Linked DNA regions of Elephas maximus indicus. The protein of the gene in region 1 purifies or fractionates together with the protein of each later gene. This does not show direct contact. Links are inferred from orthologs where the notes say so. Each region holds a gene or a part of one and is shown in the gene's direction. Other genes may lie near its edges. The genes, in order: IKBKG, SQSTM1, MAP3K14 and HSP90AB1.

The links.
Region 2: the proteins of IKBKG (region 1) and SQSTM1 purify together in Homo sapiens (affinity purification with western blotting; 3 studies listed by BioGRID and IntAct, with this or other methods). This does not show direct contact. The link is inferred for Elephas maximus indicus from reciprocal best matches to the Homo sapiens genes IKBKG and SQSTM1.
Region 3: the proteins of IKBKG (region 1) and MAP3K14 purify together in Homo sapiens (affinity purification with mass spectrometry; 6 studies listed by BioGRID and IntAct, counting the BioPlex papers as one, with this or other methods). This does not show direct contact. The link is inferred for Elephas maximus indicus from reciprocal best matches to the Homo sapiens genes IKBKG and MAP3K14.
Region 4: the proteins of IKBKG (region 1) and HSP90AB1 purify together in Homo sapiens (co-immunoprecipitation; 4 studies listed by BioGRID and IntAct, with this or other methods). This does not show direct contact. The link is inferred for Elephas maximus indicus from reciprocal best matches to the Homo sapiens genes IKBKG and HSP90AB1.

What each region holds. Positions count from the first base shown.
Region 1 is NC_064846.1:1,893,285-1,900,710, reverse strand, and holds the start of IKBKG (NF-kappa-B essential modulator), read left to right. Parts: upstream 1-4,409; 5' UTR 4,410-4,574; intron 4,575-7,426. Other genes in the region: G6PD (glucose-6-phosphate 1-dehydrogenase), read right to left, coding at 2,851-2,978, 3,830-3,989. UniProt on the Homo sapiens protein: Regulatory subunit of the IKK core complex which phosphorylates inhibitors of NF-kappa-B thus leading to the dissociation of the inhibitor/NF-kappa-B complex and ultimately the degradation of the inhibitor.
Region 2 is NC_064820.1:202,022,215-202,029,324, forward strand, and holds the start of SQSTM1 (sequestosome-1), read left to right. Parts: upstream 1-4,099; 5' UTR 4,100-4,146; coding exon 4,147-4,351; intron 4,352-6,444; coding exon 6,445-6,540; intron 6,541-7,040; coding exon 7,041-7,110. UniProt on the Homo sapiens protein: Molecular adapter required for selective macroautophagy (aggrephagy) by acting as a bridge between polyubiquitinated proteins and autophagosomes.
Region 3 is NC_064837.1:51,659,079-51,666,925, reverse strand, and holds the start of MAP3K14 (mitogen-activated protein kinase kinase kinase 14), read left to right. Parts: upstream 1-4,836; 5' UTR 4,837-4,937; intron 4,938-7,847.
Region 4 is NC_064819.1:108,807,127-108,814,323, forward strand, and holds the start of HSP90AB1 (heat shock protein HSP 90-beta), read left to right. Parts: upstream 1-4,180; 5' UTR 4,181-4,293; intron 4,294-5,710; coding exon 5,711-5,857; intron 5,858-6,480; coding exon 6,481-6,687; intron 6,688-6,797; coding exon 6,798-6,957; intron 6,958-7,115; coding exon 7,116-7,197. UniProt on the Homo sapiens protein: Molecular chaperone that promotes the maturation, structural maintenance and proper regulation of specific target proteins involved for instance in cell cycle control and signal transduction. Undergoes a functional cycle linked to its ATPase activity.

The sequences.
Region 1 (7,426 bases):
TATCAGATGGAGGAAGATACATCCTTCTAGGTCCAAGGTTCTTTCCCCCACGCTGGTCCATAAGGAGAAACTGGTTTCTTTCATTTGAGCTTTCTGGGCTGGGATCCCTGCCACTGGGAAAGTGAGCTCTTCTACTCCCTTCCTGGGTCAGGGGTGGGGGTGGGGGTGGGAAGAAAGGCCTGAGAAAGGGGAAGTGGCCACATAGCAGGGAGACAGGGGCTCAAAGCTCGTTTTGTAACTCTGTGAGGCAGAATCAGGCTGCCCCCAGGAAGAAGCTGCAGTGTGGGTTTGGGTTGGGTAAGTGGGTGCAGGAGGCAGGAGGGGCAGAGCATGGCCACATGGGTCTGACCTGCTCAGGTTCTGGGCCCGCTAGCCACTGGCCTCCTGTCAGCTTCTAGGTCACATCCAGTTTGCTCTGACTCAGGGCTTTGCCTCTGCTCTTCCCTTTGCTCAGCAAGTTCCCCTGGGGCCTCGTGCTGCAGACCTCAGTATCAGGTGCCTCCCCCTCCCCAGGGCCCACCCTGACCACACCTCTCAAGGCCTCTGGCCCCCTCCCAGCCCTGTTTGTTTCTCCTGTCACAGGTACTGCTCTGAACTCACCTTGCGTCCCCAGCCTCCCATAAAGCACAGGGCCATGAGGGCAGGGATTGTGGCTGCTGTGGTCTTGGTGTTGCCCAATGCCTAGCACAAGGCCAGGGACAGCAGAGGCCGGTGACGGCTACTTGTTGAATGAGTGAGCAGAGAACGCAGTTTCCCAAAGCACCACCCTGCCTACCTCTGCAGCACAGGATGGGAGCTGTTCCAGGTGCTATCAGAGCACCCCGGGTGGATGCCCCCACAATGCTCCCTCTAGTCCTTGCTCCAAGGGAGGACCTGCCCACCCTGCTCCAGTCCCCTCAAGCAGGAGAAGAGTCAGGAGAGAAACAACACAGGCTCTTAGGAGGACCCCTGGCCCTGCACTCCACGCTGCGAAGCCAGCACTTCCCATCTCTGCTTTGGAACCTCTGGCTGTTGCCCCTGGGCAGAGGAGAGCAAAGGGGAACCCTGCTGGTTGCGTTGGAATAGCGTTGCCTAACCCCAGGCTAAGGAGCCCTAGTGGTGCAATAGTTAAGTGCTTGGCTGCTAACTGAAACACTGGTGGTTTGAACCCACCCAGCGACTGGGCGGGGGGAAGATCTGGCAATCTGCTTCCATAAAGATTACAGCTTAGAAAACCCTATGGGGCAGTTCGACTCTGTCACAGAGGATTGCTCTGAGTTGGAATCGACTCGATGACACCTAACAACAACAGCCACCACCACCCCAGGTTGGCCACAGGCGAAGACAGCAAAGAGCCATAAAACCAGCTCGGCAGAGCCTGTGGACCCTTGTCATTCATTCAGAAACGCTCAATTGATATGTGCTGAGGTCTAAAGCCCCAGATCACACAGCCTATCTGGATGCTGTCAATGATGAGACCCAAGACTCTACAGATGAGTCTTAACCCATCTGTGTGGGACCTGGCAAACTCTGTTGGTGTATCCTTGCAACAGGCCAGTGTGGGGATGGGGAAAGGAGAAGAAAAAAATCCCGAATTATTTTCTCTTTGAGCCTGTTTCAGGGACTAAGGGCCTCACAGCCAGGATACTAGGTGTTAAGGTTTGTGGCTGATGCAGATATGACTCCTCTAAGGGGACCGTGTGCTTTGCCTGGGTGGGGGTGGACAACACCCACCTTTCTCAGGTTTTGGGGTTCTGGGTGAGGCAGAGGGCAAAGCCCTTTTCTCTCGTACTGGCTCTTCTCCTAGAGTACAGCTCATTCTAGCTTGCTTGCCTTCTTGTTATTTTCGGCTCTCCTTCCCAATTTCTGACCAAAGACACAAAGGCACAGAGCAGGCTCTGTAAAGGGTGGCGGCAAGTTGTTCTCTGTGAACAAAGAGCTGCCAAGTGCCTCCAGCACGAGGGGGAAGGCAGCCTGTGGTGTGAGAGTTGCAGAGCACTGCCCACTCTGTACGGCTCTAGCTAGTTTGGGTAGAACTCTTGCTCAAGATTACATAATCAGTTAATGGCAAAGATGGCCATATGAATGCTAACAGGTTCTTGGTCACACTCATGTTTAAGTCAAGAGGCAGCCCTGGCTGCAGGTCTAGCAAGCCCCTGCACATCTCACGCAAGGCAGATCTTATCTGCATATAGCACACTGGATAGGGGCTGTGGTCCGGGGGCCACAGCTTTACTAGGACCACCCCCTCGGCCCCCCAACCTCTTCCTTACATGTGCTATACCTCTGCCTTTATATTGATTCTTTGTCCTTCCCTATCAAAGCAAAATGGCAGTTCCACAAACTAGACACTTGGGGTGGGACAAGGAACAGCTCTTTAGCAGGCCTTAGCGGTTGGGGAAAAGATATGGTATGAAAAGCAAAGCTGAATGTTTGTCCCCAGGGATGATGAGGTGGTAGAAAGAGGTGATGATTGGGCCTCAGATCTTTCCTCTGGAACAAATTAACTGTGTGATGTTCATCAAGTCACCGACAAGTTTGAAAAAGATGCTCCCAGAAAGAATAGCTTCCCCTGTCTGCGGCTCAGTTTTCTCAGTGGAGGGGGAGGAAGTCCCTCAGGCCCTTCCAGTTTCAGGTCTACTTTCAAGGTCTGAGCATGGATTTAGAAATGCCTCCCAAGTGTCGGTACAGCAAGGAGTGCTGTGATGACAGTGGTGCCTGGGCAGGTCACGGTTATAAGAGTGAAACCTCGCAGTGCCTGAGTGGCCGCTGCACAGTTAGTTGGGATAGGTCAGGTGCAGAGCCAGACGATGCCTTGGGCAATGTCACACAGTAAGTCTGGCTTCTGAGATGTGGCTGTGGGAGACTCACCGAGGCGCCCATGATGATGAATATGTGTGTATCAGACTGGTGGAAGGCATCGCCCTGGTACAGCTCTTCCCGGAGGATCCCGCACACCTGGGTCCGGCTCAGGGCCACCTGCTCAGCCATGGTGTTCTCTGGGGAAAGAAAGGCTCGTTGACAAGCCCACAGAGGAGAAGCACCTGGAAGGGGGCCTCTAGGCTCTCAGCAGGCTGACGCCTGGTTACTGAAACCACTGGCTGTGAACGTGCCCGGGGCGGCCAGGTTGGGTTAGAAACTCTTGGCTCTGGGCTCTGGCCATACTTTCCCAGGCTCCAGCCATACTCTCCCAGGCTGCCTTCTTTCAGGGAGTACATTCTGGACCTCACACAACACGATCATGACCCTTTCACTCTAAAATCCTGCACTCAGGCGGGAACTCATCAATGCGCGGGATCCTGGTAAACTTAGCGGATGATGGAGTCCGCTTCAGCTCTACTGCTGCTAACCTGGGCGACCCCGGGCAAGTCCCCCCTTCTCAGGGTCTCAATGTCCTCACTGGCCCGATGAGAGGGGGGTTGCATTGGACACTATGATCTGTTAAGGCCCTCTCACTCGATCCGCTACCAAGTACAGCAAATACCGCCAATCCAAAGGACGTCTTGAGGTAGCGAGCAGCACGTCCTTCCGCTCTCTCGGTCCGCCCGACTCGGTTACCTGTACCGCCTCGCTGTCGCCTGCAGCGCTCGCAGCCCGGGAGTGCGCGCTCATTTCCGGGGGCTGCGCCCCGCGAGCCCATTTAACCGGCGGGGCGGGGGCCTCAGCTGAGCTGATGGGCCTCAGGCGAGGCGCGCGGGGCGGGGCCTCGACAGGCCCCTCCCGCGCGGGGCGGGCTGGGGCGACGGTGCGGGGGTGGGGGGAAGAGGACAGGTGCGCGCGCATCCCCGGCCCAGCTCGCGCGCCAGCCAACCCCCCCCTCCACCCCGCTCTCACTCCGCCCCTCAGGCACCTGCGCCGGCCGTCAGGCCGTGGACTGGCTCCCGTCCCCGTTGCGGCTGCTCCGCATCACCGGCCGCCTCTCTAGGGGTGAGGCTTCGCGCGGCCTGGTGCAATTCCGCGTCGTTCACCGGAGTCCCCATCTCCAGCCCAGCCCAGCCCCGCCCTGACATCCTGGTTTTCCCGCCAGCCCCCAGGCGACCATGAGCCCTCGCGGAACGCTCGACTTCCGCCGGCAGTGTAACCACGCCTCCTCTGGCTCCTCCCCCTGGCTTCGGGGCAGGGGTTCTGAAGCCCCGCCCCCTCACGGACCGGTCGCCTGCTCTCGCGGGTCAAACCGGCCCTATTGGTTGGCCTCGTCTTGGCTCCTCCCCCGATAGGGGCGGGGCGATCGATCGCCCCGGGAGGCGAAGGGAAGTGGAGGTTGCAACGTCTTGGAAAAGGGCAGGTGGCTCTCATCGTTTGGATTCGTGGTCCGCGGGACCTACCGAGGATGGTGGACTCGCGCTTTCCTCGGTGCAGGCCTCGGCCTTGAGGGAGGTGCCCGTGCAGCTCTCGAACTCACCGGGACGGGGGCTTGCCAGATTCACTTCCGTATCCCACGGCTCCGACACAGGAAGCCGGAAGTGCAGGTTTCGGCTGCAGGAGAAGGGAAGGGCGACCGCTGAGCCGGGACTTTGTTGGAGCGCTGGGGATTGTAGGAGCGCTCGCGCCCCGCTGCCCCTGCCCTTTTCGCATCGGACCGACTCTGCTGACAGGTGTGGTCCTCTTCCCTGAAGACAGGGTACCATCGGCGGGCGCTCCGCCGCCTCTCCTAGACTCCCCGGGTTTTCCGGACTGCCCCCTCCTTTTGGGCCCCGGGCTGGTTCCTGCCGCGCGCTTCTAGAGCACCGGCCGAGGCAGGCGGATTCAGGATCCAGGCTACTTCAGCGGCTAGCGGGACTGTTTTGGCACCCTGTCCCTCCGCCGCGGGGTCTGACTAGTGTGAAGAGGACTCTTTCCACTTAGGAGATATTTTTTTTTTAGTTAAGAGATATCTTCTGTCTATCAGACTTGAATGCATTTGAGGGCGTTAAGTCATTTAAAAACACCTCAAATATAGCAGCTAAATGTCTTACCTTGTATAGCTCAGTTTGGTCGCTTTGCAAAAACAATTAGTATCTGCCGAACCTCATCCCATCCCTACGACCTGAGGATGAATGAGTTGTGCCTGGCTTGTTCAAGGAACGGCAGAGCAGGCCAGTGTAGCTGGGGCAGCGTGAACAAGGGAGGGAATAGTTGGAGAAGAAGGAATAGGGACCAGATGGGACAGGGCCCTGTAGGCTGATGTAGGGACTTTGGCTTTTACACCGAGGGCAGTGGGGAGCCATGGCATGGTTCTGAGTAGAGGAGGAACATGATCGGAAGTACCTTTTAGACTGTTTTTGCTGCGTTTGGGAGAACAGACTTAGCGGGGCAAGGGTAGGAGCAGGGTGACCTGTTAGGTTATTGCAGTTATCCAGGTGAGAGACCATGGTGCCTTGGGCATTTTATTATGGACAATTCCAAAGATGTACAAAAGTAGAGAAAATAGTATAGTAAATCCCATGTACCCACCTTCCAGCCTCTACAATTATCAATTGTGGTTAATCTTGTGTAGTTTATACCCTCCGCAACCCTTTCCCATTATTTTTATTACTGTTAATAACACCTAATGAGATATAATTCACGCACCATACAACAAACACCCTTTTAAAGTACACAACTTAATGACTTTTAGTGTATTCCAAATTGTACAACTATCTCCACTACCTAATTTCACAACATTTTTATCACCTCAAAAAGAAACTGTGCCCTTTAGCCATCATCCCTCATTCCTCACCTGCCTCCTCCCAGCTGCTGGTAACTATAATCTATTTTCTGCATCTACCTGTTCTGAATATTTCATATAAATGGGGTCATACAGTATGTGTTCTTTTGTGATTGGTTTCTTTCACTCAGCATGTTTTCAAGGTTCATCCATGCCAAAACATGTGTTAGTACTTTAGTTCTGTTTATGGCCAAATCATATTCCATCGTATGTGGATGTGGAGCTCTGACGGTGCAGTAGTTAAAAGCTCAGCTGCTAACCAAAAGGTTGGCAGTTTGAAAGTTCGAATCCGCCAGCTGCTCCTCGGAAACTCTAAGGGGCAGTTCTACTTTGTCCTATAGCGTTGCTGTGAGTTGGAATCGACTTGATGGCAGTGGGTTTGGGTTTGGTTTGGTATACAGATGTACTAAAAAAAAAAAAAAAAAAAAGATTTTGTTTATTCGTTTATCTGTTGATGGCATTGGGATGGTTTCCAGTTTGGGGCTGTTGTGAGTAATGCTGCTGTGAATATTCACGTGTGGACATGTGTTTTCATTTCTCGAGTGTACTCCTAGGAGTTCCCCCATTATTTTGAAGCAAATTTCAGGCATCGTATAATTTCATTTGTGAATATTTGGGTTGCATTTTTCTAAGAAAGGATTTATTAAAAAAAAACAAACTTAACTGTGATATCCTTATCACATCTAACTTAACATTAATTGCTTAGTGTCATCAAGTGAATTTGGGGATGCATTTGATAGGACGTTCAGATGGATTAGATGTGGAAGAAAGGAGTCCAGAATGATTCCAGGGTGTCTGTCTTGATAACTGGAGAATGGATTTGCCATCAGCTGGTAACGGGGAAGGCCGGGTGGAACTGGCTTTTGGGAACTCTCAGGGGTGCAGTTTTAGATCAGTTAATGTTGAGAGCACTATTAGATATCCAGGTAGAGATTCCGTCTGGCCTGGAGATCTCTGATTTGGGGAGCCATCAGCGTTCAGTGATGGGGCTTAAAACTGTGAGACTAGATGGAATTCTCAGTGGAGTGAATGTAGCTAGAGAAGAGGTCCCAGGACAGAGCCCTGGGGCACCCCAACATGAAGGGATGGGGAAAAGAGGAGGATCCAGCAAAGGAGCCTGAGCAGGAGCAGCCAGTGAGGCAGGAGGGGAACCAGGGGAGTGGGAGGTTCTGGAAGCCAAGGGAGGAAGGTCTGTTAAAGAATCGGGGGGGAACCCCAAACCTACTGCTGTCGAATTGATTCTGACTCATAGCGACCCTCTAGGACAGAGTAGAGGTTTCCATAGAGTTTCCAAGGAGCGCCTGGTGGATTTGAACTACAGACCTTTATGGTTAGCAGCTGTAGCACTTAACCACTATGCCACCTGGGTTTCCAAGGAAGAGGGAGGAATCTAGAAGTTCCTCCTCCACATAGTCCTCCCGGGCAGGATTTCAAAGGGCTTGGGCTGCTCTCCTGCATGACCTACCTCCACTCCACAAGAGAATACAAGCGGCTCAGGCTGGCTCTTTGCCCCACTGTCTCAGGCTGAAGGCTCAGTTTTCACTTTCTGATACCTCAGCACCGATCATATGCCGGGGGCTCCTCACTCCCACCCCCTGCCCCCAGCTCCAGGGAACGCTCACCAGGCTCTGAATGGTTTAAAAAAAATGTTTTTTGATAGTAAATCCTGGTGGCTTAGTGGTTAAGAGCTACCACTGCTAACCAAAAAGCAGGTTGAGTCCACCAGGCCCTCCTTGGAAACTGTATGGGGGCAGTTCTACC
Region 2 (7,110 bases), on another chromosome or scaffold:
CTTTGGGGCCCCCAGCAGAGCCCACCCCAGGGTAGGTCTCTGGACACTGACAAGGAAGGGAGAAGCCGGATAGAGTGCGGAACCCTCCTCTGAGGCACCCCCTCCCCCCACAGCTACAGGGGCGACCCTACGACCAGGAAGGAGCATGTTTCACTTTGGGACCAGGAAGAAGCATGTTTCATTTTGGGACCAGCCTCAGGGGGCCTGTGGAAAGGCTGACCGTGACCTGACCACTTCTGCACAGAGCGAACTTGGCTGTGGGGAAACTGATCCACCAGCAGGCTCTCTCAGTCAGGCCTAGAGCACCGTTCATCGCCTGGCTCTGGAAGAGGTCCACATGAGGAGCAGGGTTCCATGGGCAGACGTGGCTCTCTGCAGGGTGGGGTCGCGGGCCGGCTCCAGCCCACCCCTTGGTGGCCCACAGGTTGTCTCTCCAGTGACCCCTTCTTGGCTTGAGCCTGGCCGTTTCCTTCCTGGACCACACTTTCTTTTGGGGCCGGGCGCCCAGGGCTGGGATCCCCGCTCGAGGGTCCCCAGGCACCGCCCGGTTGGACTTAGTGTCGGTGCAGTTCTTTGGTGCAGGGCTCTCTGATACGTATTTACAGACATGGCCCCGAGCTAGCCCCCGGCCCACCTCTGTTGATGAAACCCATCCCCATGGCCCCATGCCATTGCGCAGCAACGACTTTCCTCTAGTACCGGCGACCCCTAGACAAAATGGTCGCTCCAGCCCTCCAGTAGTCCGGCAGGAGGGCCCGGTGCCCCACAACACTTGGGGTCACTTAACTCTCCAGTCATGTCTCCTTGTGGTTTTAACTTATATTTCCCTGAGGACCAATGACTTGAGCCCTTTTTTCTTATAGAAAAGTCTTCCAAGCCCCTCCTGCCCCTCTTCCCCCTCTCCCTACCCACTACTCTCTTGGCTGGGCCTTGCAGAAACAGCTAAAATGAGGTGGTGTCCAATAGGTGAGAATTTTCCCCAGATGGAGTGGTCAGGGAAGGCCCCACTGAGGTGACATTTAGGATGGGAGGTTGCCATGCAGGCCAGGGAGGGAAGGGTTACAGGCAAAGGGAAGAGCCTGGAAAAAGTCACCAGGTAGAATGAGTTGGCATGTTGGGAACAGTGAGCAGAGGTGTGTCCCTCAGAGTCAATGAGAGGGACAGACAGGTCCAGGGCAGTGTGAGAACCAAGACACTTTAGTGAAGGAGGACTAGAGGCATTCCCACTCCTTGGACTCCTTCCCTGGACATAAAAACTCATCCCTTAGTCCTTATAGGGTTACTATGAGTTGGAATCTATTTGAAGGCAATGGGTTTGTTTGGTTATGGGGTTAGTCCTAGGGGTGGGGTTGGGTGGGACTCATTCCCTTGATCCTCAATTAATCTCCTTTAAGCACAGCCCAGAGCAGCTCAGCCTGGACCCCCTTGTGTCTAGTGGCCTAGCTCTGAGCCCTCACACCTAGGGAGGTTTGACTCCACACCTCAAAGAAAATTAACTGGACTGCAGAAAAACTCTGTCAAATCATTGTGATGGGATTATTTGGGGGGTGGGGCAGGGTGGGATTGAAGAGGTGATTACAGCACACCAGACAGTACTAAACAAAATCGGATGTCCTCCTGGCCCTCCCAGAACCTCTTAACTCAGGTCTCTTCTGTGTCTCCCACTCTTTAACCTTCTCAACTCCTTGTTCTCTCCCCAACCCCCCTCAGCTCACAAGGCCAAAAGCAGACAAAGAACAACTAGCACACCTGAGGGGCCTCACCTGGGTGGGGACATCACATCATCCCACTCGGGCCCCATTTCTAAGATGAGGAAACTGAGAAGCATTAGTCCAAAGGCGGTCTATTGCAGAAGTCTCCAACTCAGGGCCAAGCTTTTCCAGCTTGCTGAGTGCACATGCCCTGGAAAGTGGGAAGCGGGTCAGTGGACACAGGGGAGGTGTCTGGGGAAGGGGGCGGTGTCTCTGCCTCCCACGGAGGAGAAAGACAGAGAATGGCGGCTGTACAGGGAGGGCGTCTTGCTCCAGCCATCAACTAGGTGCCCTGCGGTCCCTCCCCCCACCCCCACCCCCCCACTCCCCCGCCTCTGCGCACTCTTCTTGCTGCGGGGTCCAGGTGGGACTCACGCAGACCCCCAGGGCCTCTCTCCACCCAGTCTCTCAGTAAGATGTCACTGAGAGGGGTCAGTGGTGGCCGGGGATCCGCAGTTCATGATGGCGATCATGGGACGCTGACTCACGGCAGGACCGCCTGACCACCGGGGGGTAGGCGGAAAGGGCCCTGCCAGGGGGTTCCCCAGCGCACAGTCTTGTTTACCTCTCAGCGGGCCTTGGGGGCGGGGAGGGCTGGGCCGTGCTCAACAGCAGAGCTTGCTGGGAAGGGCCGGACCCGGACTAGCCCGGGCAGGGGCCGGTAGCTGGGGGCTGGTGGCGGTCTTCAGGCCTGCTCCCCAGAGCCCATTTCTTGCCACCCCTTTCTCTCTGAGCTTCCCCACCCCTCCCTGCAAGCCCACCACGGTCCCAAACGGACATAAAAGTTAAGAAAGCAAAGGAGTTCCTAGAGGCAGCCAAAGAGTCCCACTACTTGTTTGGGCAAGGGCCGCGCCTTGGGCTGTTCCTGAAACCTGCGTTCCCCTAACCAGATGACTTCACTCTTCAGCCCACACTGTGCTCGGACCCGGACCCTGAAGCTCTGGGGGCGGGGTGGCCGGCCGAGCTGGGGCAGGAAGCGCGCTCTTCGCCCAACCGCCTGGGCTGCGTGTCTCCCATGGGGCGCTGCTGAGTCATACGCCCTCGCTCCTGCCAGCGGCCCCAGTTTTCTTCCCAGACCCTGACCCTTCCGGCAGGGCCGTGGGTCTCAGCGGCTGAGGGTCACCGCGGAGACGCGGGGGGGAGGGGTGGAGAGGGACTCTCCTGTCCACAGCGCTGCTCCGGGCAGGGGTGCGAGGAGCTGTCTGGAGCCCTCAGGGAAAGATCAGCCACACCTGTGGACAAGCCCCTGTGTGCTCCCACATGGAAGTCACTTTCGCATTTGACTATCCCCTAGCCCAACCAAACTTCCCTTGGTCTCTGGGTTTCCCAGCCCTCGCGCTTCCACAAAGCCAACCGTGAAAAAGCATGACAGGACCCCATCTGGGTGCAATATAGGGTGACATACCCTTCCTGCCCAACTCCTTCCAAGGTGTCTCCCCAGGCCTTTCAAACAGGTCTATTTGGTCACATAAAGCAGTGTTTCTAGGCTCATAGCTCTAGGGGAGTTGGTCTGACCCCCTGCCCATGAGGTCAACAAGCTGTGAACTCAGGGGCCCTTGGGCACCACCTGCTGAATTGAACCCTGTGCTGACAGGTGGGCATCTGGGGACTCAGCAGGAGTCTCTTGGGCTGCACTGAAGTGCCGGGTGTAGGGATATTCACCAACCCCTGTCCCCTGTGCTCTCCTAGCACCTCTCAACCTATCTCGCTCACCCATTAAGCTGGGGGCACAGCTGGTGGATGGGGGATAAATCGCCAGGGAGGACGCTGTGTGCTCCCCACCCCCCACCCCCGCCCCGGGAGAGGCTGATTGTCCCGAACGGCCTGGAGGCTACCAAGCTGGCAGGTAGCACCCTGTTCTACCACCCCGTTGTACCACCCCAGGGGGCCTGCTTGCTCTGGCCCGCAGTGCTCACTAGATTGCTTAGGCACCTCCTGGCGTCTAGCCTCTGTGCCCCCCCACCCCCTGCTCTAGGCATCCCTCGGCGGCCTGGGGACACTTTGCTGAGTCATGGCCAGGCCCAGGCCTGGGAGGGACCCCTTGCCTGCCTCTTGCCCCAGGAGTAGAGACCAGAGCCCAGCTTAGACGTCGGACTAACGGGGCGGGCTTCTTGGGGCCCCTGCTGTACTGGGGGCAGTGAGGAGACGGGCGGCAGTGAACGGGCCTCGGCAACCGTGAGGGGGGTGGTCACAGGAGACGTAGGGTGGCAGCGGGTGAGGGGCCCCCGCAGGGCGGCTTGCGCGCGCCGCGGTCTGGAGGTGGGAGCTAGGACTTCGCCGGGAGACCCCGCCCCCAGGTGGCCGGGTGGGGCGGGGCTTCCCGCATTTCCTATAAAGGCCGCGCGCCTGCGGCCAGCGTTGTACAGCTCCGTTCCAGCTCCTTCGTCAACGGGGTATGGCGTCGCTCACAGTCAAGGCCTACCTTCTAGGCAAGGAGGATGCGGCCCGCGAAATCCGCCGCTTCAGCTTCTGCTTCAGCCCCGAGGCGGAAGCCGAAGCCGAGGCCGCGACTGGGCCGGGGCCTTGCGAGCGGCTGCTGAGCCGGGTGGCCGCCCTGTTCCCGGCGCTGCGGCCTGGCGGCTTCCAGGCGCACTACCGCGGTGAGCAGGGCCGGGGGCGGTGGCAGTGACGCAGGCCGAGCGGCCTCTGTACGGCCTGCCCTGTGGGGCTTGGGTGGCTGCCTTTCCTTCCCGTCGATGCCTGATGGGGTGAGGGAGGGCTGCTCTGGCTTTTGGGTGAGCAGTGGCTCGCGGCGGGTCCACACTTCGGCCCCGGGTGCCAGTCTGGAAGTGCCAGGAGTAGGGACCAAGACTCGGTTCCGGCCCAGTTCCAGCTGTTAAGCGCTAGCCCTTTTGGGGCCAGGGGCTGCCACACTCTACGGGCGGATCTCAGGTCTGGGGGCGCCAGATTCCACCCCTCCCCCCGCCATGATGCTGCACAGCTTGGCAAGGACGCGCAGGCGTCCTTTCGGCTTTTCGGGGGCCGCGGGCACTAAGGTTACACTGACATCTTGCGGCTTTGGAGTCTGGGTCCTCTAGCGGGTTCAGATTTACCCCTACAGAGCCTGGGCGGAGCCGACCTGGAGGAAGGGGCGCCAGGGGCGGGGGAGGAATGACGTAGGTAAACAAGTGTGGGGTGCGGGGAACTATCCCGAGATAGTCTCTGCGAAGAGAGGTCGGGGCCAGATCACAGGACGCCCAAGGCCAGGCAGAGTACTGACTATCTAATAGTCTGGAGAGACGGACAAGATCAAAGGTTCTTCAGGAACATTGGTGTAGGGATGGAGGCTGGGAAGCCTTTGCGGGCCCAGGAGCTAGCTTGGGCTGTGCTTGTGTTACAGGTGACTCCTGGGGGTGGGGTTGAGGAAGTTGGTTGTGAAAGGGAGGGCGGAGCATCCAGGGCCAGCCTCTGGGAGGGGACAGTGCTGGGACCTCCCTCAGCAGTGCTGCCAGCCTGCCAGGTCCGCCCCTATCTTTTTTTGGGAATTTTTTTGAGATGTAATTCACATGTCATACGATTTACCCATTAAAAGTATATAACTCAATGGTTTTTAGCATATTCACAGGTTTGTGCAACGATCACCACAGTTTCAGAACATTTTCATCACCTTGAAACCCCATACCCTTTAGCTATCACCCCTACCCTAGCAGTCTGATTACCTCCAGCCCTAAACTACCAATAATCTACTTTCTGTCTCTATAGCTTTGCATGTTCTGGGCATTTCATATAAATGGAATCATGTGGTTTTTTGTGACTGGCTTCTTTCACTTAACATAGCGTTTTCAAGATGTATCCATGTTGTAGCATGATGTAATATTATGGTGGAATACTAGTCCATTGTATGGATATACCACATTGTGTTTTTCCATTCATCTGTTGATGGACACCTGTGTTGTTTCCACCTTTTGGCACCGCCCCTATTCCTGATGTTGTGATCTGGTGACCCACAGGCCCTATTCAGTCTGCAGATGGATGGTGTGATTTGTCCTGCATGGTGGTGGTTTAAAACCCTTTGAGCCAACATCTAAAAATGGGAGACTACATCCAAATATGGTATTTTAGCAGCACTTTGAACAGGTTCATTCAGGTTCCACCTGCTGAGACTTTGCATTTTGACCCTAGATATACTGAATCAGAATCTACATTTTAGCAAGATCCCCCAGGTGATTCTTACATATGCATTTTAATTCTTAAGTAGATTATTATTCAGTATATCTGGGGGGGTGGAAATGCAAATTCTCAGCAGGGGGTCGAACTGGAATGAATTGGTTCTAAGCCCCGGCTTATCTATTACTTTCCTAAACCTTAAGAAGCCCAAGGCCTTTGGAGGGCTGGGTCCCCCAGGAACTGGTCAAAGGCAGGATCTCCCACATTTGAGGATGGGCCTGGTTGGATATGGACCAGGGGCTCAAAAACAGAGCAGGGGGTGGCCAGCTATCACTGTTGTGGTGCCCTGCACACACACACCTGCCTCTGGCATGGATCCAGGGCCCCATGTTGAAGTCCTTACCTTCCTAACAACATCAGAGTGAATGGGCAATCTCACCTGTCATCCCTACCTCCCCCAGTTCACACAGGGGTTCCAGTTTATAGCCCTTGAAATGTCCCTTCAGCACTGGCCTCAGCTGGTTTGAGCAACTTGTATCCATCTGGAAGCCCCAGGTACTCATGTGCTGTCTTTTAAACCATCTAGATGAGGATGGGGACTTGGTTGCCTTTTCTAGTGATGAGGAGCTGACAATGGCAATGTCCTATGTGAAGGATGACATCTTCCGTATTTACATAAAAGGTAAGGGGCTACTCTGGGTGTGACCTGAAGCCAGGTGTTCCCTGCTGAGTAAATATAGGGCTTGAGGGCTAGGAATCTGAGGGCTAGACAGAGTCATAATAAATGCCAAGTTTGCCCTCAGAAAGGAGTCCATGTTCATCATGTACTGAGTGGGGTCTATAGGGTCTCTGAGTCCACTCTTGATGTGCCCAAACCAAGTGCCATGGGGCTGGAGGAAGCGTTGGGGGTACAGTACAAGCTTTATTTTAGTGAGGAGCAAAGCCAGAGTGTGCCAGCACAGCTCTCTGCTGCTCCTCAGCTGGCTGGGCTCTGCATGCCCGGTTTTCAGGTGCAGGGATTGGGACTCTCTCAGCAGGTTCTTGGGTTGCTTTGTTACTGTCACCTGAGCAACTGAATTCTGTGTGGAACTGGGTGTTTCATGAACAGCCCCACAGAGGTGATGGATGGGGGAGAACTTTGGAGGTGTCACCTCAGTGGCTCTCTCCACCCTTCCCCCACAGAGAAGAAGGAGTGCCGGCGAGACCACCGCCCGCCATGTGCTCAGGAGGTGCCCCGCAGCATGGTGCATCC
Region 3 (7,847 bases), on another chromosome or scaffold:
AATTTTTGTATGAGACTGATTTGTAAACTTTCACTTAAAGCACAATAAAAATTCTTTAAAAGATTTACCCATTTTTCATCAGTCTTCCACAAAACCAATTGGCAATTGGCTCCTGGAAGACCTGTCTCTTTGAAGAGCCCTGCAAACAGGGGGGCAGGAGCTCTGGAGTCACACTTGGTTTGAATCCCTGATCTTCTGTTACAGCAAAGTGACCATGGGTCAGTTACTTCTCTCTGAGCCTCAGTTGTTTTTGTTTTTTTTTATCTATGAAATGGGTATGATAACAGCAGTACTTACTCCTTGTAGAAAGGAGCCCTCATGGTACAGTGGTTAAGGGCTTGGCTGCTAACCAAAAGGTTGGCAGTTCAAACCCAACAGCCGCTCCACAGCAGAAAAATGTGGCAAGCTGCTTCCATAAGGATTTACAGCCTTGGAAGCCTTAGGGGGCAGTTTTACTCTGTCCTATAGGGTTGCTGTAAGTCAGAAGAGACTCAACAGCAACGGGTTTGGTTTTTTGGACTCTATGTAGTTAAACTGCAGGAGTTCTCAACTGGGGGTGATTTTGCCCTCATGGGAATTTAGCAATGTCTGGAGACACTGTTTGTTGTCACAACTCTGGCTGGGAGGGACTACTGGCATCTAGTGGGTAGAGGCCGGGAATGCTATTAAACATCCTACAGTGCACAGGATAGCCCCTTACAACAAAAAATTATCCAACCCAAAATGTCAATAGTGTCAGGGTTGAGAAACCCTGGATTAGAGGTGAAGATTTGGTGAGATCATGCCCAAGAAGCAAGTACTTACCAGTGTCTGGCAACTAGTAAACACTCAAAAAATAGGAGCTGTTATTCTGAGATTTTTCTTTGTGGAAGATCATGGTCTAACCTTTCTATTTCCAGATCCAAGCCTTTGGGGTGGAATGTGGAAACCCTTGAGCGCTGAGAACCTTGCTCACTGCTCCAGGTGTGAATCACTCTGTAAATGTCAATTTCTTTTATTGAAAGCAGAACTGAGGCCATACCAGTGACTCAGGACTAGGAGCCATCCCAGGCTGTGGTGACCTAACTAGCCTGGCGTGGAGGAAGTGATTTTGCCCTGAAGCTCTCCTTCCAGGGGGTGCAAAATGAAGCATTTCAAGACTCAGAGACTCCAAGGGGCTCACTTGAAGGGGCTTAGAAAGACCGAGAAAAGCAGCCAAAACCCTGCTTGTCTCCAGATATCTTCCTCACTGGGTGGTTTGTTCCTTCCAGGACTTTGAACTGATTTGTTCTGGTTTGAACTCCTGCTGCAAATTTGCATTTTTGGTAAGTTCCCAGGTGATGCTATGCTGCTAGTTAGGGACCAATTCTGAGAACCACCAGTAGAGCAGTGGTTATCAACAATTATCATCTATAAGATTCACCTGGGGATCTTGTTTAGCTGTAGATTCTGATTCAGTATATCTGGGACCAAAAAAAAAAAAGCCAAACCCAGTGCCATCGAGTCGATTCTGACTCATAGTGACCGTATAGAACAGAATAGAACGGCACCATAGAGTTTCCAAGGAGCCCCTGGTGGATTCGAACTGCTGACCCTTTGGTTAGCAGCCATACCACTTAACCACCATGCCACCAGGGTTTCCATATCTGGGACAGAAAGGCAAATTCTCAGCAGGAGTTCCTACCAGTTCTTTCCCTGGTTCCTTCCCTGCAACCTAACGTGAAATTCCTTCTCCAGAGCCACAGCTTTGGGCCAAAGAGTTCAATCTCTCCCGTTAATCACATTAGTGTTGTCATTGTTGTTACATGCCATTGAGTCAGTTTCTACTCATAATGTCCCTATGTACAATAGAACGAAACACTGCCCAGTCCTGCACCATCCTCATCATCGTTGCTATGTTCGAGCCCCTGGTTGTAGCCACTGCGTCAATCCATCTCATTGAGGGTCTTCCTCTTTTTTGTTGACCCTCTACTTTACCAAGCATGATGTCCTTCTCCAGGAACTGGTCCCTCCTGATAACATGTCCAATGTATGTGAGACAAAGTCTCACCATCCTCATTTCTAAGGAACATTCTGGCTGTACTTCTTCCAAGACAGATTTGTTCATTCTTCTGGCAGTCCATAGTTTATTCAATATTCTTCACCGACACCATAATTCAAAGGCATCAGTTCTTCTTCGATCTTCCTTATTTATTGTCCAGCTTTTGCATGCATATGAGGCGACTGAAAACACCATGGCTTGGCTCAGGAGCACCTCAGCCTTAAAAGTGACATCTTTGCTTTTCCAGCAGATTTGCCCAATGCAATGTGTCTTCTGACTTGACTGCTGCTTCCATGGCTGTTGATTGTGGATCCGAGTAAAATGAAATCCTTGACAACTTCAATCTTTTCTCTGTTTACTGTGATGTTGCTCATTGGTCCAGTCGTGAGGATTTTTGTTTTCTTTATGTTGAGGTGTAATCCATACTGAAGGCTGTAGTCTTTGATCTCCATCAGTGTTTCAAGTTGTCTTCACTTTCAGCAAGAAAGGTTTTGACATCTGCGTATCACAGTTGTTAAAGGGTCTTCCACCAATCCTGACGTCCTGTTCTTCTTCATATATTCCAGCTTCTCGGGGCAGATAACCTTAGTGGGGTGAGTCGGGCATGCAGGGGGCCCAAGATTAGAGAAGTGCCAAGGGAGCCTGGAGAAGGTACGTGGGCACTGTGTACTAGAGAAGGAATGATGAAAGAGAGGGAAGGCAAAGCTGAGCCAGGGAGCATTTGCAGAATCTGGGTCTGTGCCCACGTCCTTCCTGAGAAGTGGTGTGCCCAGAGGAAACAGGTGAGAGGAGAGGCAAGACATGAATCCAAGCCCAGGAATCCAAGCCCACGGACACTAACCTGTAACCTACCATCTGGCAAGCTCCACCTCTCCCTGAGTCACTGAAACACAGAACCCTGGGGTTGGAGGGAGCTTTAGGAGCCAACAGTCCAGCTTCATTCTTACCCACCATCTCCCTGCTAGTCAGTGGCAGAGCCAGGATTTGCATCAGATATCTGGCTCCAAAGCACAGGCTTTATGGGGCCACAACCTCAAATGCTTCAGGGGCAGACAGGTGGCATAAGGTTAAGTGGTTGCACACAAGACAACAGGGGTGGAGGCTGTAAAGAACTGCAGGCGCTGCTAAGGTATTAAATTAAAAAACAAACAAATAAAAACCACTGGGCCAGCCAAACAAAACATGTCTCTGGCCTGGGAGAGTGGGTGAGGCCCGCAGGTTGTGAGTTTGTGACCCCTGCCTAAATGAATGTTGTTGTATGCCCTCAAGTCAATTCCAACTCATAGTGACCCTATAGGACACAGTAGAACTGCCCATAGAGTTTCCAAGGAGCAGCTGGTGGATTCGGACTGCCAACATTACAGTTAGCAGCCTGAGATCTTGACCACCTCGCCACAGGGCTCCGTGCCTAAATGAATAGTCTTCCCTAACACCTTACCCAACAAACACCTTACCCAAGAGAAGGTGTTTGTTGGGTGCCGATCTTCAGAAAGAGGCTTTGAGCTACCAAAGACTGTCTGAAAAGTGTGATTCCAGCAGAGTGGCCTGGCCTTTGTTCAAACCCTTTTAGAGACTGCTCAAGGCAGCTGCCTTTGATGGGGCCTCCTCACCGTTACCATTAGAGCCAGTCACAACTTGTGTGAGTCCCTGATGGGGGGGGGGGTTACCATGGAAGGGGCACATCTTTTATTTCGCAAACTTTTAAAAATAATTTTTGATTTTTTTTTTTTTTACTATGAAGTACTGGCTCACTGTAGAAACACTGGAAAAAAAAGATAGGTAACTTAGAAAATAAAAAATATCCATACCTTCTATCTCTACTCCCTCTCCCCAATCCCTCCTCCCCATTCAGACAGAAGCACTGTTGACACCTCGGTGGTATTTAAACTCAAGTCCTTTCTTTGCATATGCAAGGCTTTAATCTTTCTGGTTTTGTAACCTTTATGGTCCCTATGAGTCGGAGTAGCCTCAACCGCAATGGCTTTGGTTTTTGGTTTGGTAACCTGCATACCCAGCGAGGAGATGCTTCGCCCAGGGTTAGCACCACGTTGTTTCTCTGGCAGGGGAGGCTTTGCATCACGTCAGCCGCACGCTCTCATTGGGCTCTGATTTGAACACACGTTTTTATCCGACCTGTGACCTGTGTAGGCCCTTGGCTCCCTAAGCTTTTCGAGGGCAGGCACCGTAACTTGTCTTACTCGTCCTCAAGGACTCTACAGAGTCAGGCATACAGTAAGTGCTCAACAAAAGTATTTCTAATCCCATCACCCCCGACCTCAGCAGCCTCCGCCTGGCAGCAAAGGGGAAGTGGAACGACACCCGGGAGGGGGTGCGCCTCGCCGTCTCCAAGGTAACCGAAATCAGAGGCTGGGAGTGCCCACGCATGCGCACACTCTCCTTTCCTTCCCGTAACCTCAAGAAAAACGCAACCGGTAAAAAGACTGCCCGCAGCCGAGCGCGCATGTGTGGTTACACCAATCACTTCGGCCGCCTCCGCTTTCTGTCAATCTGTCCGCCCAGCAATCTCTTCTCTATAAACACTGTCCGGAAATAGTGCCCATTTCTGGAAACGAGGCCTCGTTAACCAATCGCCGCTAGAGGGGCGGGACAACGGGGAGAGCCTGGGCTAGTATTGGGCCCGTCTCATTGGTTATCTTGGAGGAGTGGGAGGGGCCAAAGGTCGAGACGCGGCCAGAGAAAGCAGGCGCGAAGAGAGGCAAAGTTGCAGCCGCCGGGGGAGGCGTGGCCCCGGGGGCGGCCGGGAAGGCGATGAGGGGGCGGGGCCCGCGGTCGGGGCTGGGCGTCCGTGGGGCGGGGCGACCGTGGGCTGGGAGCTCAGCGGTCGGTGACCGGCGGCGGGAGATCGTGGGAGAAAGGAGCGCGACACTCGCTGGCTGGAGAAATCGGCGCTCGGCCGGTAGGTGACTGAGCCGGACCCCAGGGCCCGTCGTGGGGCGCTCAGGGGGCGGCGGGGACAGCTTGCTCCTCAGCCCATGGCCTGGCCACGGCCTGGCCTGCCGCCGCCCCTTAAGCGGGGGAGCCGGCCGTCCGGTCCCGCGCGGCCCGGCCCTCCTGGTCCGACCCACCCGCGCACGGGCTGTCGGCAGTCGCGGCCGGCCGCCTGCCCTAGCTCACACGCGCTGCCGGGGCTACAGTCGCACGCTTTGCTCGCTCCAGGCCTCCAGGCCGCTCACCACCCCCCCCAGGCCACACGCTCGCCCCAATCGCCCGCAGGGGCGCGCTGCTTCCCCTTCCCCAACACCCCCTCTTCCACTGCGCTCAGATGCCCCCACCGCTAGGCCGCGCCCTCCCCGCACCCCCCGGGTGCCCTCCAGGATCGGGGCTCTCTTCGCTCCGGGAGCAAGGTGTCTTATGCTGATGTGCGCCCGGCCCGTGCGCCTTGCCACCTGCCCTGGCCAGTGAAACTCTCGTGGCCGTCCCCGGGAAGTTCGTGGGTCACGCTCCGAGGCGGGGAGAAGGAGCAGAGCCTGCCCTTGGCATCCAGCGGGGCAGTGCTGGCCGCCGGAGCATCTTCCCTCTTTCCTCTGGCCCCAGCCCTGCTCTTTAATTCTTCAGCCCTTTCCACTGAGGACATTCTTATCTGCCGGCTAAGATATAATATTACCACTTGGAAGCCCATCGTGGCCCTGGCAACTTGAAGCGACCGGGCACCAGACAGAAAGAGGACACTTGTACAGTGCAGAGGTTCCCACCTGCCTAGGAGCCTCCCTGGTTCTCGGTAAACTTCAGAAACGTGTTTACTTCCTAGCTGAGTTTAACATGTTGCTCTTGGCTCTCAAAAAGGACGAATGCAGAAAAGGTACAGAAATCAGCAGTAAAAATGGTAAAATTATTTTTGTTACTTGGAGCCAAAGAACAGTAGTGATGTTTAAGGACTAAGAACTCTAAAAGCAAATGAAATTAAATGATAAGATTGGACCATGACACAAACTAGCAGTCTGAAGTTTATTCCTGGAAAAAGGTTGAAAACCCCTTGACTAGAAGCATGGTCTTTATGAAAGATTATAGGGAGATTAGTATCTTAACATTTGTGATGTATTTTTTACTTTACTTAAGTATCTAAGTATCTTGATACCTGTAACCCCTTTTTCCCTTCAGACATCTCTGTGCTAAGATAGATAGTATTGTCCTGTTTTATAAGTGAAGTACCTGAGGGAGGTGGTGGTGGGAATTATGTATATTGCCTGATGCCTCGTACATTGATAGTGGGGGACTTGAGCCTGAGTCGCTCAAGTCATTTCTGCACTCCTTCCCCTGGACCAGAACCACATTATGGGACTCAGATGTAGGAAAGAGGGAGCAGTGTTTGGTGTGGTATTTATGCTCTTAATGTGAGAAGACACTTAGAAGGTGCTCGTCTTGCTTAAGATGCATTCAGATTTACTCTTGGTTTTTTAAAGTAATGTCAAAGTTAGTTTCTTTGGTTCAGTGATAGCAGACCTCTAAGATGTTCAGACACCTTTAGGACATCCTCATTTATTTTGAAGGGTGTGGTGAACTTCTCAGAAGGTCTCAAAATAAAAGTTGTAGTCTCTGACTTTAATTTTAGAAATAAGAACCCAGGTATATGTTTCAGCACTTTTGTGAAATCAGACAGCAGTAAGCTGCTAAGTTTTAGGCTGTCTCCTGAGTGTTTTCAGATGATAAGGAGGAGTTCTAAAGGGGTTTTTTGCCCCTGGTATTGTCTGTCAGAGTTTGTGGGAGTGGCACCATTGACAGAGACCCTGCCAGATGAGCCTTCATCTATTAAACAAAAATGTCTGGCCAGGCTGTTTCGCCTCAACAGATGGAGATTTGGTTCCTCATTTTGATTCTCCTGTTGAACATTGCCTCCTTTGTGATCTGCTTGGAGTGTTTGTGTATCATTTCATGCTGAGAAGTGGACTTGCCCTGATTGGCTGTCCAACCCTAGGCAACTGTTGTGATTTTTTTTTGGTGAGTGATAACAGTCCATCCATGACCTGAGTCTAGTGAGAGATCTGTAGAAATGTGAGAGGTGAAGCTTCATCTAGGGCTGTTTTCTTCCTTGTTGGCACCCTCTTAAGAGTGTTCTGTCCCTTTGGCCTATGAAGTCACTTTTAGTTTCCTATTTTTTTCCTGTTTCAATGGATACCACATGGGCTTTCCTGACAGGCCTAGCCACCTTGATGAAGAGCTGACAGATTCACATTGGTTGACTTGACAGATGTACTTGCTTGGGGAAACGTTAAAAAATCTTAAAACCTAATTCATTGCTAAAGAACAAGTATAAGCTTCATACACAATCAGGCAGCATATTTCTACCAAGGCTTCCATCATCTCAAAGCTGTTTTTTTTTTTCCTGGCAAAAGGTTAAAATGCAACTAAAATTCTGCTTTCATGATTAATAAGTCACTACCGCAGTTGTGTCTGATGCTTCCTGTTTGCCCCATTTTAGTGTTTCAGTTAAACTGGAGACATCGGAGCATTATGGGCACTTTTGACGGCACCAGCATGAAATTGACATGGGGGGAAAATCTGTGTCAGTGGATTATTGGGAATTGTAAGGATAAGCCAGCCCCTCTGGCCTCGGAACACCAAGGTCCCTAGTAAGGGAAAGGAGTGCAGCTGAGCAGCTCCAAGGGGTAGCGTGAACACGTAAAATGATGCACGTGTGAAGGCTTTGCATGTACTTGGTGATGCTGACTGAAATGTCGAAAGCAGTAGATGAGAAATGGAAGGCCAGACATAGGGCAAGTTGTGTAGGAGATCATTTCAGTTGAGCTGGTGGGACATTGAAGTCTGTTAGATATGGGGTCTTAAGTTCTGGGCTTGTCTTATAACCTGA
Region 4 (7,197 bases), on another chromosome or scaffold:
TTTGGGGTCTGTATCCCACTGATCTCCTGCTCCCTCAGGGGTCCTCTGCTGTGGTTCCTGTCAGGGCAGTCATCGATTGTGGCCGGTCACCAACTAGTTCTTCTGGTCTCAGGATGATGTAGGTCTCTGGTTCATGTGGCCCTTTCTGTCTCTTGGGCTCTTAGTTGTCGTGTGGTTCTATTACTATTTAGCTGAGAGTTTTTATCATGAACGGGTGTTGGTCTTTCTCAAATGCCTTTTCTGTACCAATTAATAAGATCGTGTGGATTACATTGATTGTTTTTCTAATGTTGAACCATCCCTACACACCTGGTATGGATCCCACTTGGTCATGGTCAATTATTTTTTTGATATGTTGTTGGATTCTATTGGCTATAATTTTGTTTAGGATTTTTGTGTCTAAGTTCATGAGGGATGTTGGTCTGTAATTTTCTTTTTCTGTGGTGTCTTTACCTGGTTTTGATATCAGGATTATGCTGGTTTCATAGGATGAGCTTGGGAGTATTCTATCCTTTTCTATGCTCTGAAATACCTTTAGTAGTAGTGGTGTTAACTCTTCTCTGGAAGTTTGGTAGAATTCTCCAGTGAAGCTGTCAGGGCCAGGGCTTTTTTTTGATGGGAGTTTTTTAAATTACCTTTTCACTCTCTTCTTTTGTTATAGGTTTATTTAGTTGTTCTACCTATGTTTTTCTTAGTTTAGGTAAGTGGTGTGTTTCTAGGAATTTATCCATTTCCTCTAGGTTTTCAAATTTGTTAGAGTATAATTTTTCATAGTATTCTGTTATGATTCTTTTAATTTCAGTTTGGTCTGTTGTGACACCACCCATCTCATTTCTTATTTGGGTTATTTGCTTCATCTCCTGTTTTTCTTTTGTCAGTTTGGCCGACGGTTTATCGATTTTGTGGATCTTTTCGAAGAACTAGCTTTTGGTCTCATTAACTCTTTCAACTGTTTTTCTGTTCTCTATTTAATTCTGGTCTAATTTTTATTATTTGCTTTCTTCTGCTGCCTGAGGTCTTCTTCTGCTGCTATTTGTTTGAGTTGTAGGGATAATTCTTTGATTTTGGCCCTTTTTTCCTTTTGTATGTCTGCATTTATTACTATAAATTGACTTCTGAGCACCACTTTTGCTGTGTCCCAAAAGTTCTGATAGGAAGTGTTTTAATTCTCATTTGATTCTATGAATTTCTATATTTCGTCCTTAATTTCTTCTATAACCCAGTAGTTTTTGAGCAAGGTGTTGTTCAGTTTCCATTTATGATTTTTTTCCTTGCTTGTTCTGTTATTTCTACTTTTATTGCTTTATCATCAGAAAAGATGCTTTGTAATATTTCGATGTTTTAGGTTCTATTAAGGCTTGCTCTGTGGCCTAATATATAGTCTACGGTAGAGAATGTTCCATGTGTGTTGGGAACGAAATATATTTGGCTGCCACTGGTTGGAGCGTTCTGTATATACCTGTGAAATCATAACCATTGGTTTTGGCATTCAGATCTTCTGTCTTTATTGAGCATCTTTCTGGATGTTCTGTCCTTCTCCGAAAGTGGTGTGTTGAACTCTCCTACTGTTATTTTGGAGCTATCTTTTTTCAAAGCCATTAAAGTTTATGTACTTTGGAGCCCTGTCCTTGGATGCATAAATATTTACAATGGTTATATCCTCCTGGTATATTGACCTCATGGGTTTTTGAGTTTTGGTCCCTCTCTTGGATCTCTGTGCCTTTCCATACTTCTCCCTCTCCTGGGAGTAGACCTGTGCCATACCCCTAAGCATGCCCCCTTCCCCAGCCTAAGTTGGGGCCTCTGCTGCTCCTCCCATACCCCTCTGTCTCACACTTGGCCTGCTACAGCTCCACTCAATTGGGGGCTCCTTGTTCTGTGTGGACATCCCTGCATCCCCAGGGTAGAGCTCTTGGACACAGGTAGAGGTCATCCTTACAGACTTCCTGGACAAAAAGGTGGAATTTTTGCACTGAAAAAGGTGGAATTTCTGCACTGGCTCAAGGTTTGAGATTTTCTCATTTGGGGAAGTGCTGGAAGAGGGCCCTATTGTGACAGAGCAGGAGTCCAGTTCAGGGGAAGCCCATCCACAGGAGTAATTCCTGGTCCATTTTGGACTTGGGTCTCAGAGGGGAGACAGCACCCCCCAACCCATTTCTGGAGCAGGGACAGAGCTGGAGGAACAAGGGCTCTCAGCTGAGTGATTCTGGTGTCACTGAAACCTGCTTTTCCCTGTCCATGGAAGGCGGAGTTGCTTTTACCTCCCTCAAGGCTGTGAGATGTTGTGAATATGTTCTTTGTGACTGGGGAGCAGATTTCTGAGAAAGGGTATGCTGAGATATGAGGTTCTGGTTAGAGATCTGATCAGAAACAGAGCATGCTGGAGAATTCCTGACAGCATGGCCTATGAGACCCCCACACTCATCGGACTTCTCGTGGCCCTAGGCTTCTCATAGATCCTATAAAGGCACGTAGAACGGCAAGGTAAGATAAAAAGTGTGTGGTGGCAGCAGAGATTATGGGATGGAAGAGTGCCGCGGCAAGAAGAGAAAAGCAGGAGTCTTTCGTTCTCTGGAATTCAACAAAGAACAAAGAATTTGAAGGAAGACCGGGTGCCAGGGCTGGTGAGGGAGCACCGAAAAGTGGTGGTGGGGGAACCCCTCCCCAATATTCCAGGTGCAGAGAAGACAGGGAAAGGAGATGATGAACATGTACACAACAGGGAGTCACCATTCTCCCCTGGAGGAGCTGTGAGTCCTGCAGGCTTCCCGCAGGAAGCCTTGAAAAGGCAGAACAGCTTGCCAGCCGGAGAGGAAAGCACGAGGGGCAGAGAGGCAGGAGAGGCTTGGCGTCAGCAGCTCGCTAGGCAGGCGCACGGCCTGGTGCTCCGGTGCTGCAGCCAAAGGGGAACAAATTTGGTTCGGGTCGTCTGGAGCGTGCTGTCCTTCGGCCAGCATATTCATGCCGCCTCTGAGACCTCCGTCACCCTGCACAGGTCCCTGGAGATTCCACCACCGCCCCCCCCCACCGCCCACAGGCCCAAGGGAAAAAAAAAAAATAAAAAAACAGCTTTCGAAAAAACGTCTACGTGCTGGTGTAGGGAGGATGCAAGTCCCTGCGCCCCCTGCACGTGGGCGGCAGCAGGTCCCGGGAAGGTCCTTGGTACCGATTTTGTCCCCAGCCGCTCGGTGAAGTCGGCGCCCGGGGAGCCGCCCCGGGAGCCGCCCCAACAGCCCATGTGTTGTGTGACTGATAGAGTAGGGGAAAAAGTGTCAGTAAATCTCCCCGTTTACGCTCCACTCCACTCCACTCCTCCGCCCCCATACAAGGCTAGTCTCGCTGGTCCGATGGGCAGGTTTGAGCCTCCGGCCGCCTACACTAATTCGGATGAAAACCGAAGCGCCGCACAGAACCGGCGCAGAGACGCGGCCCCGGCCGCAGTGGGAGGGGCGAAACCGGTAGGACGAGCGGGGGCGGGGCCATCCAGAGCAGCCTAGAAACTGCTGGAAGGTTCGCAGTACCTCCACCGCTCCTTCCGCCGAGCGCCGGCAAAAAGTTCCCTTGCCAGCTAGCGCCCCTCCCCCCAGCCGTCGCCCAGCCCCCTAGCCAAACCCCGGCCCATCTTCCTGTTCCCAGGTGGGCCGGGGTTGAGGGGTCTGTCCGGAAATTGAGCCTCGCGTTCCACACAGGCCCGGAAGGAAGCCCCACCGTCTTGTTGAGATGTGTGGAGCGTTCCAGGAGGACGGCTGGGCCTGGGAGCTGAGGTGGCGTGGTTAGCCGCCCACACCTAAAACTGTGGTCTTTTCCAGATATTCCCCCCAAATCTAGAGAGAGCCAGCGGCTACTCAATTTTTTTTTTAAGGTCACCATTTATGCTATATAAACACTCCCAATCCCCCAATCCTGGTGGGGTCATGCCCTTTATCTGCAGAGAACGGACTGTGAACACGATAAAAGACGTGTGTGAACACACAGTAGATGTTACTGATGCAGTGATCCAGCGTCTGTGGAGCCAGTCGGCTTCTTCTATTCCTCCCCGCATCTCCCCCCAGCACTCCATGTTGGACCATGACGTCAGGTGGGCGGGCGGCTGCAGGTGCGGTGCTGACGGGCATCCTCCTTTAAGGCGGAGGGATCCCGGGCCGGGGTGCCGGGTTGTGCTTCGCTTTATATAGAGCGAGTGGGGGCGCAAGGCAGGTCTCTTGAGTCTCCGGCCGCGCGGTTTTATATCGTGCGAGCTGTGCACGGGCTTTAGCTAGGACTCGTTGGTATTTGTCACCCTTCCCATTCAAGGTAAGGCTGGGATCTTCTCCCCGGCTTTTCTCCCGCGAGCGTTTCTTTGAGTTGTTCTTTTCGCGTTTCCAAGTTCCAGGTATTGTGCGGGAACGGCCTTGGGACAAGTCTCCTTTTCTCTCAGGAGTGGGAAGGGGTCTCGAATTTGTCTTCGTTTCATTCCGTTTTTATGTGTTTGGGTGATGGCGGAGTTTGCCCTAGTTGGCGACTAGCTCCGGGCGAGGTGGGACGCAGTGTGGGTCTAGAGTGGTGGTCAGCCGCACGTGGTGGCCGCGCGGGTCCGGTACGCTGCCATGTTGGCCCCTACACTTCCGGACGTGGCTACGGGGCGCACAAGGGTCCTTAAGGTTGTGGGTCTGCGCGTTTGAGGTGACTCAGCACAGCCTTGTGAAGCCAGCCTCACTCGCTGACTTGCTCGGTGTTCTTCAAGTCCAGCAGATCCGTTTTTTGGAGGGTCCGTGGCGGGGGTGGGATGGGACACGGACGCTTTCGGCGTTATTCGGCCCCCCGTGTTTCATCCCTGTTTCCAGATCTTTCTGGCATTCCGGGGGGGAGGGGCTTTGAAGGATTCATGGGTTCTGTATCACTCCCGCCCCTGACGAGAACTGGGTTTGTTCTGGAAGCTTCTGGAGCCAGGCGCCCCGCCCCGGTGCCCGGATGCTGGGGCGGAGGCGGGCTGTGCGGCGGCGCCCCCTCCTCGCGTGGCCGCAGCCGGCGCATGTCCGGCAGTGACGAGGGTCGGTCCGGCGGGCTGCGGCCACCATCTTAGTTGTTTGCTCTGGTTTTAGGTTTTAGTTTGTAGCTGTGGGGTCGTGTTGGAGCTTTTGTTTTCTCGTTCTTTGTCCTATTTAATTGCATTTCATGGACAGGTTCTCCATCGATCCTCATGTTGCCTTCCCCTTCCGCGTGGGCCAGCATTCTTGGTGCCTGGACGGTTCCGTATTCTTCGGAATTAGACATTTTTAATGGAGGACTAATTTTAATTAGTGCTGTTTCAGTTTTAATTTAGTATTCAGGTTGTTTTAGTCTTTACGTCGAAAACGGTAATGCTTTGCATATGTGAACCTGTATTAGTAGGGTTTTCTCTGGGCGTTCAAAATACCTGGGGTAGGGCCGGTGTTCTGTGTTTTTTAGCACGGTGCTAGAAAACGAGGTTCCTGGGCCAATGAGTAGCAGTGCTTTACTTACCTTCCCCCCAAAAATTGTTTTGTTGAAATGTTCTAGGTTTTTCTGAAAATCATAATAGAATAGGGCCTCCAGTTTCTTGGCAGTGAGTAGTGCTCAGCCCAAAGTCCCTTGAACTAAACCACTTTTTAGTCTTGATACATGGGCCGGGGTGGAATTTAGGGGTTTGGGACTGAAAGGGCAAACACTGGGTATTCTGTTCCTTTGTAATATCTGATTGTTCTTACTGCAGATGCCTGAGGAGGTGCACCATGGAGACGAGGAGGTGGAGACCTTTGCTTTCCAGGCAGAGATTGCCCAGCTCATGTCTCTCATCATCAATACTTTTTATTCCAACAAGGAAATTTTCCTTCGGGAGTTGATTTCTAATGCTTCTGATGTGAGTTTCTGGTATAGTCCGAGCATTCCAGAAGAGGGAGATGGGTAGTTTGACATTTGGTTGGGGCATCTATTGAAGGAAGGAACCCCTGGTAGCACTTTGGGCTGCTGGCAGTTCCAGCTTACTGGTGAAGGAGAAGAAACCTGGAGAGTTCCCATAAAAATAACAGCCTAGGAAACTGGGGCAGTTCTGCTCTGTCCTGTGTGGTCACTGTGAGTTAGCACACAAGAACTGTTGGAGTGAACCGTACCCTGTTGAAGGGAATGAACCTTGTTGTCTGTGGGTCCATGTTGAGCTTCAAAGGGAGGAGAAGGGGGTCTTCTTGGAGACCACTTACCTAAGTGACTGGTTTTTTAGCCTTGTTTTAAGGGGTAATCAGAAATTGGGGCTGTTTGGGAGTAAAAAGGAGCCTTGGTGGCTGCTAACCAAAAGGCTGGCAGTTTGAATCCACCAGCTGCTCCTTGGAAACCTATATGGGGCGGTTCTACTCTATGGTTGTATGAGTCCGAATTGACTTGATGGCAGTGGGTGGTTTGGGAGTAGAAAACCTAAGGGTTTTCTTTGGATGAAGAGATGGAGCTTAAGGAAGCAGATTCTAAAGCTGTTACTTGTATTATTTTCAGGCCTTGGACAAGATTCGTTATGAGAGTCTGACTGACCCTTCTAAGTTAGACAGTGGTAAAGAGTTGAAAATCGACATCATCCCCAACCCCCAAGAACGCACTCTGACGCTGGTGGACACAGGCATTGGCATGACCAAGGCTGATCTCATAAATAATTTGGGAACCATTGCCAAGTCTGGGACCAAAGCATTTATGGAGGCTCTGCAGGTATGTAGCATTTTAGCTAGGCACACACCATTTACATTCATCCACGTTCTTCAGCTTGCAGTTCTTTCAAAACTGGCCTTTTTTTTTTTTTTTTTTTAACTCTTTGGTAGGCTGGTGCAGACATCTCCATGATTGGGCAGTTTGGTGTTGGATTTTATTCTGCCTATTTGGTGGCAGAGAAAGTGGTTGTGATTACGAAACACAATGATGATGAGCAGTATGCTTGGGAGTCTTCTGCTGGGGGTTCTTTCACAGTTCGTGCTGACCACGGTAAGTACTGTGGATTTTGTGTTAAAGATTAAAAGTCTTAGAATTGTTTGCGGGTGTTCTGTAGTAGAAATTTTGTTACATCGTGAAGCAGTTTGTCTTACAGTACAGTTACATGGTCTTATCTGTTACGTTCAGTTCCACGTGACTTCTTTTTCTAGGTGAGCCCATTGGTCGGGGTACGAAAGTGATTCTGCACCTTAAAGAAGACCAGACAGAGTACTTAGAAGAGAGGCGAGTCAA